Anolis sagrei: one gene and its partner. The protein of the gene in region 1 purifies or fractionates together with the protein of each later gene. This does not show direct contact. Links are inferred from orthologs where the notes say so. Each region holds a gene or a part of one and is shown on either strand. Other genes may lie near its edges.

What was found. The genes of interacting proteins can lie anywhere in the genome.
Region 2: the proteins of SOX2 (region 1) and DNAJB6 purify together in Homo sapiens (affinity purification with mass spectrometry; 3 studies listed by BioGRID and IntAct, with this or other methods). This does not show direct contact. The link is inferred for Anolis sagrei from reciprocal best matches to the Homo sapiens genes SOX2 and DNAJB6.

What each region holds. Positions count from the first base shown.
Region 1 is NC_090023.1:258,758,940-258,765,042, forward strand, and holds SOX2 (transcription factor SOX-2), read left to right. Parts: upstream 1-2,503; 5' UTR 2,504-3,265; coding exon 3,266-4,288; 3' UTR 4,289-4,350; downstream 4,351-6,103. UniProt on the Homo sapiens protein: Transcription factor that forms a trimeric complex with OCT4 on DNA and controls the expression of a number of genes involved in embryonic development such as YES1, FGF4, UTF1 and ZFP206. Binds to the proximal enhancer region of NANOG.
Region 2 is NC_090026.1:119,106,192-119,112,294, forward strand, and holds the start of DNAJB6 (dnaJ homolog subfamily B member 6), read right to left. Parts: upstream 4,466-6,103; 5' UTR 4,293-4,465; intron 1,091-4,292; exon of another isoform or gene 1,002-1,090; intron 1-1,001. UniProt on the Homo sapiens protein: Has a stimulatory effect on the ATPase activity of HSP70 in a dose-dependent and time-dependent manner and hence acts as a co-chaperone of HSP70. Plays an indispensable role in the organization of KRT8/KRT18 filaments.

The sequences.
Region 1 (6,103 bases):
AGGAAGGAAAGGGGGGGGGGGGAAACATCCTGGCTTCGTTACTCAGGGGTAAGGGGGTGCTTTTTGAGCAGGTGGGCTTGCGGGGTCTTTCCTCACTCGCCCGCCCTTCCCAAAACACAAATGTGGCTGGCAGCATCTGCTTGGAAAATTTTAAATAAGTGAAAAATAAGGGCAGAAGAGTGGGACCCTTTCCCCCGAATTTGCAACAAAACTGAAAGCCACTAGTGATTGCCGAATTTTTCAGGACTTTTTTTTTGTGTCAGGAGCAACTTGGGAAACTACAAGTCGCTTCTGATGTGAGAAAATTGGCCGTCTGCAAGGACATTGCCCAGGGGGCGCCAGGATATTCTGATGTTTTACCATTCTTGTGGGAAGTTTTTCTCATGTCCCCGCACGGGGAGCTGGAGCTGACAGAGGGAGCTCATCCACCCTCTCCCCAGATTCGAACCTCTGACCTGTCGGTCTTCAGTCCTGCCGGCACAAGGGCTGAGGGGGGAAAGGAAGCCTGAGGCTGTTAGGAATGGTGGGAGTTGAAGTCCAAAACACCTGGAGGGGCCAAGTTTGCCCGTGCCTACTGTAAATGCACCCTGAGCTGTATGTCTAATATCTAGCAATAATCCACAGAATAGAAGAGTTCCTCTGCCTCCTCGCCTTTCCTGGCTCCTACCTCTCTTCACCCCCAAAAACAAGGGCTCAGGGAGGGAACATGGATGTGTGTGCCTGTGCCCCCTCTTCTCCTTGTTATTTATTATTATCACCATAATTATTATTAGTATCCTGCCTTTGTCTCTAGATTGGGGTGGAAAGTGGTTCACAACATTTTTTTTAAAAAGTGCTATTTCATATCTTTAACATACAAGTATTAAAATAGAATTAAACAACCAAATCGATTAAAATTCTTTAAAAGACTTAATGAGTGCTAAAATAATCCCATGCCTTGCAGCTACCCCCCTGGCTCCCTCTCCAGAACCTCTTTCTTTTAAAAGCCTACTTGTTCTTGGACCTGTGCACCTGCTTCCTAGGGCTGTTTGAGGAGGGAAATAATGGCACCTTTTTAAAATACTTTTTTTAAATAGTTGGGGGAAATGTGAAGGGAGGAGGTTGCTGGAGCTGGAAGGGTTTCTGGCTGGAAAAAAGGAGATTCTGTGACTCTGAAGCACTGAGATGGTATCTGTGTGTGTGTGTGTTTGCACTGAATCCCTCCTCCATGTGAGGAAGAAAATGTTGAAGGGGGTAGAGAAAGGCTTTTAATTATTTCATGGAGGGCTGTGTGATAATCTGGAGGAAAGGCTATCCCTAAACTGGTTGAGGAGGCCCAGTTTGGGAAGAAGAGGAGGCTTGGTGGCATCTGCCCCTCTTATGGTTGACTTCCCAGGGACTGTTCTGCTAACATCAGGTCCTTTTAAGAAGCCCGGTGAGGACTAGGAGGATGGACCAAGGATCTTCTCGCTGAGCTGAAAGTTTGAGGCAATAGCCAAGGAGAGAGTTTCCTTCTTGCCAAGGGACACTTGTCTGAGAAGGCCAGGGCAGGTTTGGGGTGGGCCTGAGGCCTTTCTTTCCAGGTTGACTTCCCAGGGACTGTTCTGCTAACAAACAGGTCCTCAAGAGGGCCTTTTAAGAAGCCCAGTGGAGACCAGGAGGGTGGACCAAGGGTCTCCTCCGCTGATCTGAGAGTTTGGGGCAAAAACCATGGAGAGAGTTTCCTTCTTGCCAAGGGACCCTTGTCTGAGAAGTCAGGGCAGGTTTGAGGTGAACCCGAGGCCTTTCTTTCCAGGTTGACTTCCCAGGGACTATTCTGCTAACAACCAGGTCCTCAAGAAGCCTTTTTAGGAAGCTCAGTGAGAACCAGTAGGGTGGACCACGGGTCTCCCTGGCTGAGCTGAGAGTTTGGGACAAAAGCCAAGGAGAGAGTTTCCTTCTTGCCAAGGGACCCTTGTCTGAGAAGGCCAGGGCAGGTTTGGGGTGGGCCCGAGGCCTTTCTTTCCAGGCTGAAAGCAGCAAGGCAAGTGGGTTGTGGAGCTCTCACTTGCTGCTTTCAGCCTGGGAAGAAAAGCCCAACAACCGCGGAGGGTGGAAGAGCCCACGCGCGTCCACAGGGAGAAGTGGGGCCAAGAAGGCTCCCTCCCTCTCTGGGCCTGGCTTAAAAGAGAAGAGTAGGGGGGAGCCAAGGGGCAACCTCCCTTTCCTCCTCTCTAGCCCGCACTCAAGTGAAGCCGTTGCCGTTGTTTGTTGTTGTTGTTGTTGAACGCGTCCACACGGCCGTTTGCGCGCTCCCTCCTTCCCCCCTCCCTCCCCGAGGCGTGTGTGTGACCTGTTGCTTTGCAAAGAGGAGCTCGGAGGGGCCCTTTTGAGTGGCAGCCTCCATGTCCCGCCTCCCCGCCCTGAAGCCGCTCACGGCTGGATACTAGTGTGTGTGTGTATGGGGGGGGGGGGGGGAGCAGTGAGTGAGTGAGAGAAGCCCCGCCCCCTTTCATGCAAAACTCCCATCCGAGGCCGGCGCTCAGTGGAGGAGCCGGGCGAGCTCTGATTGGCCGAGGCGAAGGCATTTATTCCCTGACAAGCCCCCCATCACATGGATGGTTGTCTATTAACTTGTTCAAAAAAGTATCAGGAGTTGTCAAGGCAGAGAGAGAGAGAGAGAGAGAGAGAGAGAAAGGCGAGGAGAGAGAGAGAGAGAAAGAAAGAAAGAGTTTGGGAAGAAAGAAAGAAAACAAAACAAAACAAAACAGGGGGAAACAGAGACTTTTCCCCCCCATTTTCCTCCCTTTGCGGGCTCTTTAAGACTTAAGAGCTCCCGAAAGAAAGAAAGGAAGAAAGAAAGAAGGAAAGGAAGGAAGGAAGGAAAAAAAGGGGGCGCCGAGTGAAGAGAAAGAATAGGGGAGACGGAAGAAGAAGAAGTTTTCTCCAGCAGGACTTTCTCCCAGGCGCCTTTGTTATGATTCTCCTGGAGTAGCCTGAGAGTAGCCACCCGAAGAAGGAAGGAAGGAAGGAAAGAAGGAAGGAAGGAAGGCCGCTGTTGGCAGAGAGAGAGAGAGGAAGAGGAAGAGAAGAGGAAGAGGCTGGTCGGTGAAGGGAGGCTCTGCTGCTTGGGGGGGCAGCCTCTCCTTCCCTCCCTCCGACCCTCCCTCCCCAGCAGCCCGACTTCTGACTTTTCCTGCCTTGTGGGCTTCCTTCCTTGACTGTGTGCTTGGCTGCCCCTCTGCCCGCTTCCCCTCCTCGTCGTTCCCCTCCTTGGGGTGTTGGGCCTCTTCTCCCCTTGGCCGCCATGTACAACATGATGGAGACGGAGCTGAAGGCCGCGGCCCCGCAGGCGACGGCCACGGCGGGCGGCGGTGGCGGCGGCGGGAACAACGGCGTGTCCGGCGGCGCCAACAGCCAGAAGAACAGCCCGGACCGGGTGAAGCGCCCCATGAACGCCTTCATGGTGTGGTCCCGCGGGCAGCGGCGGAAGATGGCGCAGGAGAACCCCAAGATGCACAACTCGGAGATCTCCAAGCGGCTGGGCGCGGAGTGGAAGCTGCTCTCGGAGGCGGAGAAGCGGCCCTTCATCGACGAGGCCAAGCGGCTGCGCGCCCTGCACATGAAGGAGCACCCGGATTATAAATACCGCCCGCGGCGGAAGACCAAGACGCTGCTCAAGAAGGACAAGTACACGCTGCCGGGCGGGCTGCTGGCGGCGGCGGCGGGCTCGGGCGGGCTGGGCGGCGGGGTGGGCGTCGCGGGCTCGGCGCTGGGGCCCGGCGGGTGCGCCCAGCAGCGCATGGACGGCTACGCGGCGCACATGAACGGCTGGTCCAACGGCGGCTACGGGATGATGCAGGAGCAGCTGGGCTACTCGCAGCACCCGGGGCTCAACGCCCACGCCGCCGCCGCCGCCGCCGCCGCGCAGATGCAGCCCATGCACCGCTACGACGTGAGCGCCCTCCAGCAGTACGGCGCCCAGCCCTACATGAACGGCTCGCCGGGCTACGGCGCCATGCCCACCGCCGCCTCCTACGCCCAGCAAGGCGGCTCCTCCGCGCCCCCCGGGGCCATGCCGCTCTCCGCCATGGGGCCCGTGGTCAAGAGCGAGGCCAGCTCCTCCAGCCCCCCCGTGGGCAGCGCCTCCGCCCACGCGCGCGCCCCCTGCCAGGCCGGGGACCTCCGGGACATGATCAGCATGTACCTCCCCGCCGCCGAGGCGCCCGAGCCCGGCAGCGCCAGCAGACTCCACCTGGGGCCCCACTACCAGGGCGCCGGGGGGCCCGGGGCCGCCCTCAACGGCACGCTCCCGCTCTCCCACATGTGAGCCTCCCATGCCCCCCACTCACCCACCCACCCCCACGCTCCCCTCCCGGGGCGGACGGATGGACGGACCAAGCGGGGTGCAGACTCTCCGTGAACTCCTTCCCCGCGCCTCCGCCCCGCTATTTTTGTACAGAGAAGGAACTGGACAGGGCCCCAAAGACTCGCCGGGGAGGGGAGGGAGGGGAGGGGGTCTAGAGAGAGGAAGAGAGGGAGAGAAATAGAGGGAGCTCTCCCTCCCCCTCTCTCTCCAGCCGTCGGGCCAAGGCCCCGTCTCCACTGGCCAGGGAATGAATGCGCCCCCACTTTGGTGTCATCCAACTCCTTTCCTAGGTCTGCTTCACCTGCACAGGGAAACTCTTCCTTCAAGACCGGTTCGAAGTGGCATTCAGTGGTCAATGCAGATGGGTTTTTTTTCCCCTGACCCAAAATATGTTTGTTTTATTTCCCTATCCTTCCTTCCTTCTTTCCTTCCTTCCTTCCTTTCCCAGGTTCCAACGCCCCACTCACTCAGTGCTTGGTGTCATCAGACTGCTTCCTATGTATCAGGCATGGGCAAACTTGAGCCTTCCCTCCAGGGTTTCGGACTTCCAACTCCCACCATTTCTAAGAACCTCAGGTCCTTTCTTGAGAACCTTTCCTGAGGCTCTTAGGAATGGTGGGAGTTGAAGTTCCCCTTCAACGGCCGAGGGGGAAAAGGTAGGGGCCTGAGGTTCTTAGGAATGGTGGGAATTGAAGTCCAAAACACCTGGAGGTTTAAGCGGCTGAAGAGAAAATGAAAGGGCCTGAGGCCGTCAGGAATGGTGGGAGTTGAAGTCCAAAACCCCTGGAAACTTCAGCGGCTGAGGAGGGGAAAGGAAAGGGCCTAAGCCTGTTAGGAATGGTGGGAGTTGAGGTCCAAAACATCTGGAGGCTTAAAGCGGCTGAGGGAGAAAAGGAAAGGGCCTGAGTCTTTTTGGAATGGTGGGAGTTGAAGTTCCAAAACACCTGGAGGCTTAAGCGGCTGAGGGAGAAAAGACAAGGGCCTGAGGCTGTTAGGAATGGTGGGCGTTGAAGTCCAAAACACCTGGAGGCTTAAGCGGTGGAGAGGGAAAAGACAAGGGCCTGAGGCTGTTAGGAATGGTGGGAGTCGAGGCTTCAGCGGCTGAGAGGAATCAGACAAGGGCCTGAGGCTCTTAGGAATGGTGGGAGTTGAAGTCCCAAAACACCTAGGCTTAAGCGACTGAGAGGGAAAAGGTAAGGGCCTAAGGCAGTTAGGAATGGTGGGAGTTGAAGTCCAAAACACCTGGAGGCTTAAGTAACTGAAGGGGAAAAGGAAAGAGCCTGAGGCTGTTCAGAATGGTGGGACTTGAAGTCCAAAACCCTTGGAGGCTTAAGTGGCTGAAGGGGAACAGGAAAGGCTGTTAGGAATGGTAGGAGTTGAATTCCAAGACCAAAGTTTGCCCATGCCTGCTATGTATGCTTCTCCTGCACAAACTCTCTCTTCAAGACCGGTTCGAAATGGCATTCAGTTCTCAATGCAGATGGGGCCCAACTTGGTTTTTTTCCTTCCTGTCCCAAAATATGTTTGTTGTTTTCCTCCTTCCTTCCTTCCTTCCTTCCTTCCTTCCTTCCTTCCTTCCTTCCTTCCTTCCTTCTTTCCCCAGGTTCCAACGGAAACAATACTTTGCAGAAACAGGTGTTTTTGTTTTGAATTTCCCAAAAGAGGAAAGCCTTGCCCCCCTAATCTTTAGCGGTAGACTCCAGAAAGAAAAGGTGGGTAGGAAAAAGGGGGAGGGAGGGGGGGAGGGGGAGGTGCGGGCAGGAGGGGGTGAGGGAG
Region 2 (6,103 bases), on another chromosome or scaffold:
ATCAGGTTTGCTTGTGTTTGGACAGATCTAACTACCAACGCTGCTCAGCGCAATAGAGTTAAAAAAGTGCATAAATTCCACTACTACAGTTAGCCTAAAGTCTGGAACATTACATTTAAAAATTTTAAAATGTTAAAGTGATATAAATTGGAAAAATAATTCCCTGCAGTAAACACAGAAGTAATTTAACTAGGTAAGATTTCATCAATCACCCCCCCCCCCCCCAATATAGCTACAAAAATTAGCCAAAAAGAAAAAGGGGAAAATTCTTAATTTATAAATTGTTTTAGAGCTTCTGGTTACAACCAGACTATTTCTCTATGCAACTCAATCTTTTCCTGTTTCCTCAATGCCAATCAAGAAACAGTTTGCCAATATCACTAGTACAGAACATGTTTTGCAGTCATTTGTAGCACTTGTAGATTAAAAGATCTAATAGCCTCATTATTCTATTCATCCATCTTACCTTAATACATATTTGTTTAAATCTCTTGCCCTTGAATTGTAAGGCTAACGAAATTAAACAATATAAGCACTCATTCATTTTTAATCAACAAAAAAATCGGTTGCATCAGTTTGGAAAAATACACTTTGTAGAACTGGCTGGAGGAACCCTAACCTACATACACAGGAGTAATTGCTACTTAACTGAAACTGAACCTTATACAGAACACTTCTAATCAACTTTTTAAAAGAAATATATAAAACACATAGACTTTAAAGATATGGCTTTACTTTTTTGGCTTAAGCTGCAACCTTACCACCACCACCACCACCACCCCCCCCCCCCCCCAGTGTATAAATACACCTAATGAAAGGGGAAGTTATAATGAAAAATTTAAAAATGGGTGAAAAACCAAGGAAAAAGTAAATGGCGAAGGCATTTGACGGGAACAAATTATCAGCAATCTAGCACTCTACAAGTAACACATTAATAAGCCACAAGGGGTCCACCGCAGCACTCCCCAAATAATAATAATAATATGTAAGAAAACGCTTGCCTTTCATGAGAAGCACTGTCTTTCATATTCTAAGGCCTAACATTCTGAAACAGCTCTGAGCTCCTCCTAAACAAGTACAAAATTTCCTCTTCCATTCCACCTCTTTTCACTCCAAGACTAGCCCGTCCCTCTACTTCTGCTCTAGAAAATTAACTCCTTGTTGTCTTCCTGAAGAAGTCAAATTAACCTGCCTACCAACAGAGCCAAGGGGTGCAATTCTTCCAGTTCTAGTACTTCCTCTCCTGAGGCTGAAGGTCTTCCTGTTTGTCTGGATTGTGCAAAGAAAAAGAGACAACCCCCCCCCCCCCCAAAAACCCTAACTCCTAACAACCTAATACACTACAGCACATGTGAAAGTATATTAATAGAAGACTATTGTCTAAATACAAAATGACCCAAACTCCTGTCTCATCTTGGAAGCTAAGCAAACTCAGCCCTGGTTACTATTTTGGAAGAAAAAACTGGAAAACTGGGTATTCCTTGCCATAGAAAACCCTCTGAAATTCATGTGGTCATAATAAGTGAACAGACGACTCGAAGATGCACACACATACACACGATCTGGACTTGGTTCATTTTCCCCAAAACACTTCCACAGCAAATGGGTAAGGTGCCTTTTTGGACTGTGACTCCCAGAATCCCCCAGTCAACAAAAAATAGCTGGATGGGGTATTCTGGGAGTGGCAGTCCAAAAGGATGAACCTTTCCCAAGCCCAGAAGGCCTGGTAATGAATATCAAGAACTGTTGTGTAACATTTTAGGCATATTAATAGGTTTTAACTGGTAAATTTTAACAATAACAACAAAAACAGCAAATCTAAGAAAATCCTATGAAATTCATAGGGTCATAATTGACATGAAGCACCATGGTCAGACATGGGACTCTTATCTGTAAACTGTTTCAAAAGTGTGTAGAAATGGAGATTTATGGAGTTGGGGAGCAATTATCTTATAGAAACGGCTGAATGTGCTTAATTTAATGTATGATAGGATCTTTCAGATTTGCCCGTTAGTGATGCTGAAGAGTGGGCGTTCCTGTGGGAGGTCTCCAAATGAGCATTGGTGCTCCTATTCTCACCAATAATCCTCTGCCATTATTTTTTGTGTAATTTTTAAAATATAAATTTATTCGTCAAGAATTTCACAATTCTGATGTATCACCACTTAGCTACTGCTATATTTTCCTCCTTTTTCGAGCCAGATTTTGGACTTCTGAAGTTTCCCCTTTTTTGACACCAGTTTATAAAGCCATTAAAGGAAAATATCTAGCCCAGTGAATCCCAGGCTCTAGTTCTCCAGGTGTTTTGAACACTATCATCAATATCATTTTGTTATATCTATATCCTGGTTTTATCTCAAATGAGATGCAAAACGACTCAAAAAAGAAAAAAAAAGCATTTAAAATCCAAGTATATCTCCTACTATGTACCTGAAAGGCAACTTCAATCGAGTGTGGGTGGGGGCGGGGACTGCTGACACCTCTACACCCATCCCAAATGCTGCTTAAAGCTACTCGAGAGAGGACCTTTTCTGGGAAGTCCCCAGCTTTGTGGAACGCCCTTCCTAGAGAAATCAGAGCTGCCCTACTCTTTTATCATTTAGGAAAGGAGTGAAAATCTTTATGTTTGAACAGGTCTTTAAGGGAAATTAAAATTGTAGATGGTCTCTAGAGCAGGCATGGGCAAACTTTTAGCTGTTAGGAATTGTAGGAGTTGAAATCCAAAACACCGAGAGGGATGAAATTTGCCTATGTCTGCTCTAGATTAAAGGATATGGGAATTAAGCTCTCAATATGGTTAATTAAAGGTTTTAAATATTTATATTGTATTTGTAAATAGGGCCTTATCACTGACAGTTTTAGATAATCAGGTTGCTATAAGGAATTTATCAGGTTTAAATCTTTCATTTTTACTTTGTTAAGTTTCTTATTGTATTGATAGCTGCTTTGAGTCTTGGTGTGGGAGAAAAGCGGGGTAAAAATCAACTCAGATAAAACAAATAAATAACATATTAAAATAGAATTGAACAAACCAGTCAATGAAAATCCCTGAAAACAATCCAAAACTATTCACTCTTCTTCTTCCTCAACTCCCAGAAGCCTCAGCTGCCCTGGCAAATGATCAGGGATTTATTTATTTTTTGTCGTGTCAGGAGCAACTTGACAAACTGCAAGTTGCCTCTGGTGTGAGAGAATTGGCCGTCTGCAAGGACGTTGCCCAGGGGACACCCGGATGATTTGATGTTTTTATCATCCTTGTGGGAGGCTTCTCTCATGTCCCCGCATGAGGAGCTGGAGTTGACAGAGGGAGCTCATCCGCCTCTCCCCGGATTCGAACCTGCGACCTGTCAGTCTTCAGTCCTGTCGGCGCAGGGCTTTAACCCACTGCGCCACTGGGGGCTCCATTTTCTGTGGGTGAGCAGATGGTGACTACTGGATGGAGTATGTTCTGTATCAGAAACTAGAGCTGATGTGGTCTATCCAATGCAATTTTCTGAATCTGCACCCCGGGGGCTCCTTGAATGTTTTATGTTCAGATTTTACATCATTGTACAATTCTTATTTGATTATGACTGGTTTAATTTATTGATGTTAGGTTCTAATGTTGCTGGAGTTGATAGAGGGAGCTCATCCGCCTCTCCCCGGATTCGAACCTGCGACCAGGGATTGTGGGAACTGGAGTTCAAACACCTGGAAGACCATAGTATGTGGGAAAGTTGTCTTTTGGGGCCGTCGCTTCCATAAAATAGCTGATTGGGGGGATTCTGGGAGTGGCAGCTCCAAAATATGAACCTTTCCAGAGTTCAGAAGGGCTGTCAACGAGTATCAGGCAATACAGATTACTTTAACAAACCAACTGTGAGCATTCCTCGTCTAAGAAAACCTTATTATATTCATTTATGCTAATGCCACATATTAGCATAAATAATAATAATAAACTTTATTTATATCCCACCACCATCTATCAATAAGAGGGAGGAAGCCTAGTCAATTAAATTAAAGAGTTTATCAAACGCCTTAATGCCAACCTCTGTTTAAATCTGGAGTTCAGATACTACAGCCCAGGCTCACCATAGGAGGGGGAATAAGGGACCTGAACAGAGGAAGGAAATCTGCCTGACGACAAGCGCGTCACGAGGGGAAAGCGACGCCCCCAGCAGCAAATAGGGAATCAGCTTTGGTGCCCCCCTCCCGCCCCCTGCAGTGCCCCTCAGCCAATCAGAAGGACCCAAAGGTTCAGGGAGATGGGAAAAGGCCGACTCGCTTCCCCGCCCGAGAAAACAGACACTCACCGCAAGATTCCCTTTCGGCGTCGTTCTGCTTATCCTTCCCTCTCCCCTCGCGGCCTACTTGCCTTCGCTGAGCGGCGGCAACAACAACGAAGACAAACCGTGACTGACGGCAACGACCGTCCCTCTCTGCTTTGAGGGCCGCGGAGAGGAAGTGCGTCACGCGCCGGAAGCGGCCGATTCAACCGCCGTAAGCTCCGCCCCCCCCTTAACCATAGATCTACTATAAACAAAGGGAAGAGTGAGACGTCATTGTGAAAATTCCAGGTTCACTCTTCCTTGATGTGTCTCAAAGTGGGAAATTCTGAGTTTCAGGAAACAGACAGAAAAAAAGGGAAATATCTTCTGACACATACATACATGAAAACTCTTAATCCCCACCCACATTTTATATATATGCGTGTGTGTTTGTGTATATATGAGGTTTTGTGCATGTGTTGTAATGTATTTTTTGTTTTTTGGTTTTTTAAGTCTCTTCTGCTGTGTTTTTCAGTTTTTGTTGGCCTGATAGGTGTCTTGTGTCCAAATTTGGTCTCAATTCGTCCAGTGGGTTTTGAGTTATGTTAATCCCACAAACTAACATTACATGTTTATTTATATAGATGGTCACTCATTGACTTGATAGGTGTATTGTATCCAAATTTGGTGTCAATTTGTCCAGTGGGTTTTGAGTTATGTTAATCCCACAAACAAACATTAAATTCTTATTTATATATTGATATCAATAATATTATAATATTATAATTTTGAAATATTTTAATAATATATTAATGTTATTATACTGCAATATTATTCTATTGTAATACAATAGTAAATAATAGTAATATAATAACACTAATATATATATAATGAATAATGTTGTAATATAATATATATTATATATACTACAATTTATGATATAATACAATACATTATTTAATACTAATAGTATAATATACTGGTGGTATATGTGTTGTGGTATAATACTACAATACAAGATAATAATATATAATAATATAATTATTATATGTTATATATTATACATAATATTACTAATTATATTCCAGTATAGTAGTATGGTACAATATAATAATATATAATACTAATATTGTACTATGCTAATAATATAATGTATTGTATATACATATATTACTAATATTTTAATGTAATGTAATATAATACTAATAATAATAAAATATAATATATAATAATAATATTGTAATATTATGGCTCGAGAGCAGTACATGTGAAAAAGATCTTGGAGTCCTCGTGGACAACAAGTTGTGACAACAAAAATGTGATGTGGCAGCAAAAAAAGCCAATTTTGGACTGCATCAATTCGAGTCTAGTGTCTAGATCCAGGGAAGTCATGCTTCCCCTCTATTCTGCCTCGGTTAGACCAAACCTGGAATACTGTGTCTAGTTCTGGGCACCACAAGTGAAGGGAGATGTTAACAAGCTGGAATGTGGTCAGAGGAGGGCAAGGGTCTGGAGAACAAGCCCTGTGAGGAGCAGCTTAAAGAGCTGGTCATATTTAGCCTGAGGAAGAGAAGGCTGAGAGGAGACATGATAGCCATGTTATAAATATGTGAGGGGAAGTCATAGGGAGGAGGGGGCAAGCTTGCTTTCTGCTGACCTGGAGACTAGGACGTGGAACAATGGCTTCAAAATACAAGAAAGGAGATTCCATCTGAACATTAGGAAAAACTTCCTGACTGTGAGAGCTGTTCAGCAGTGGAACTCTCTGCCCTGGAGTGTGGTGGAGGCTCCTTCTTTGGAGGCTTTTAAACAGAGGCTGGATAGCCATCTGTCGGCAGAACAGACAACTCTATAGA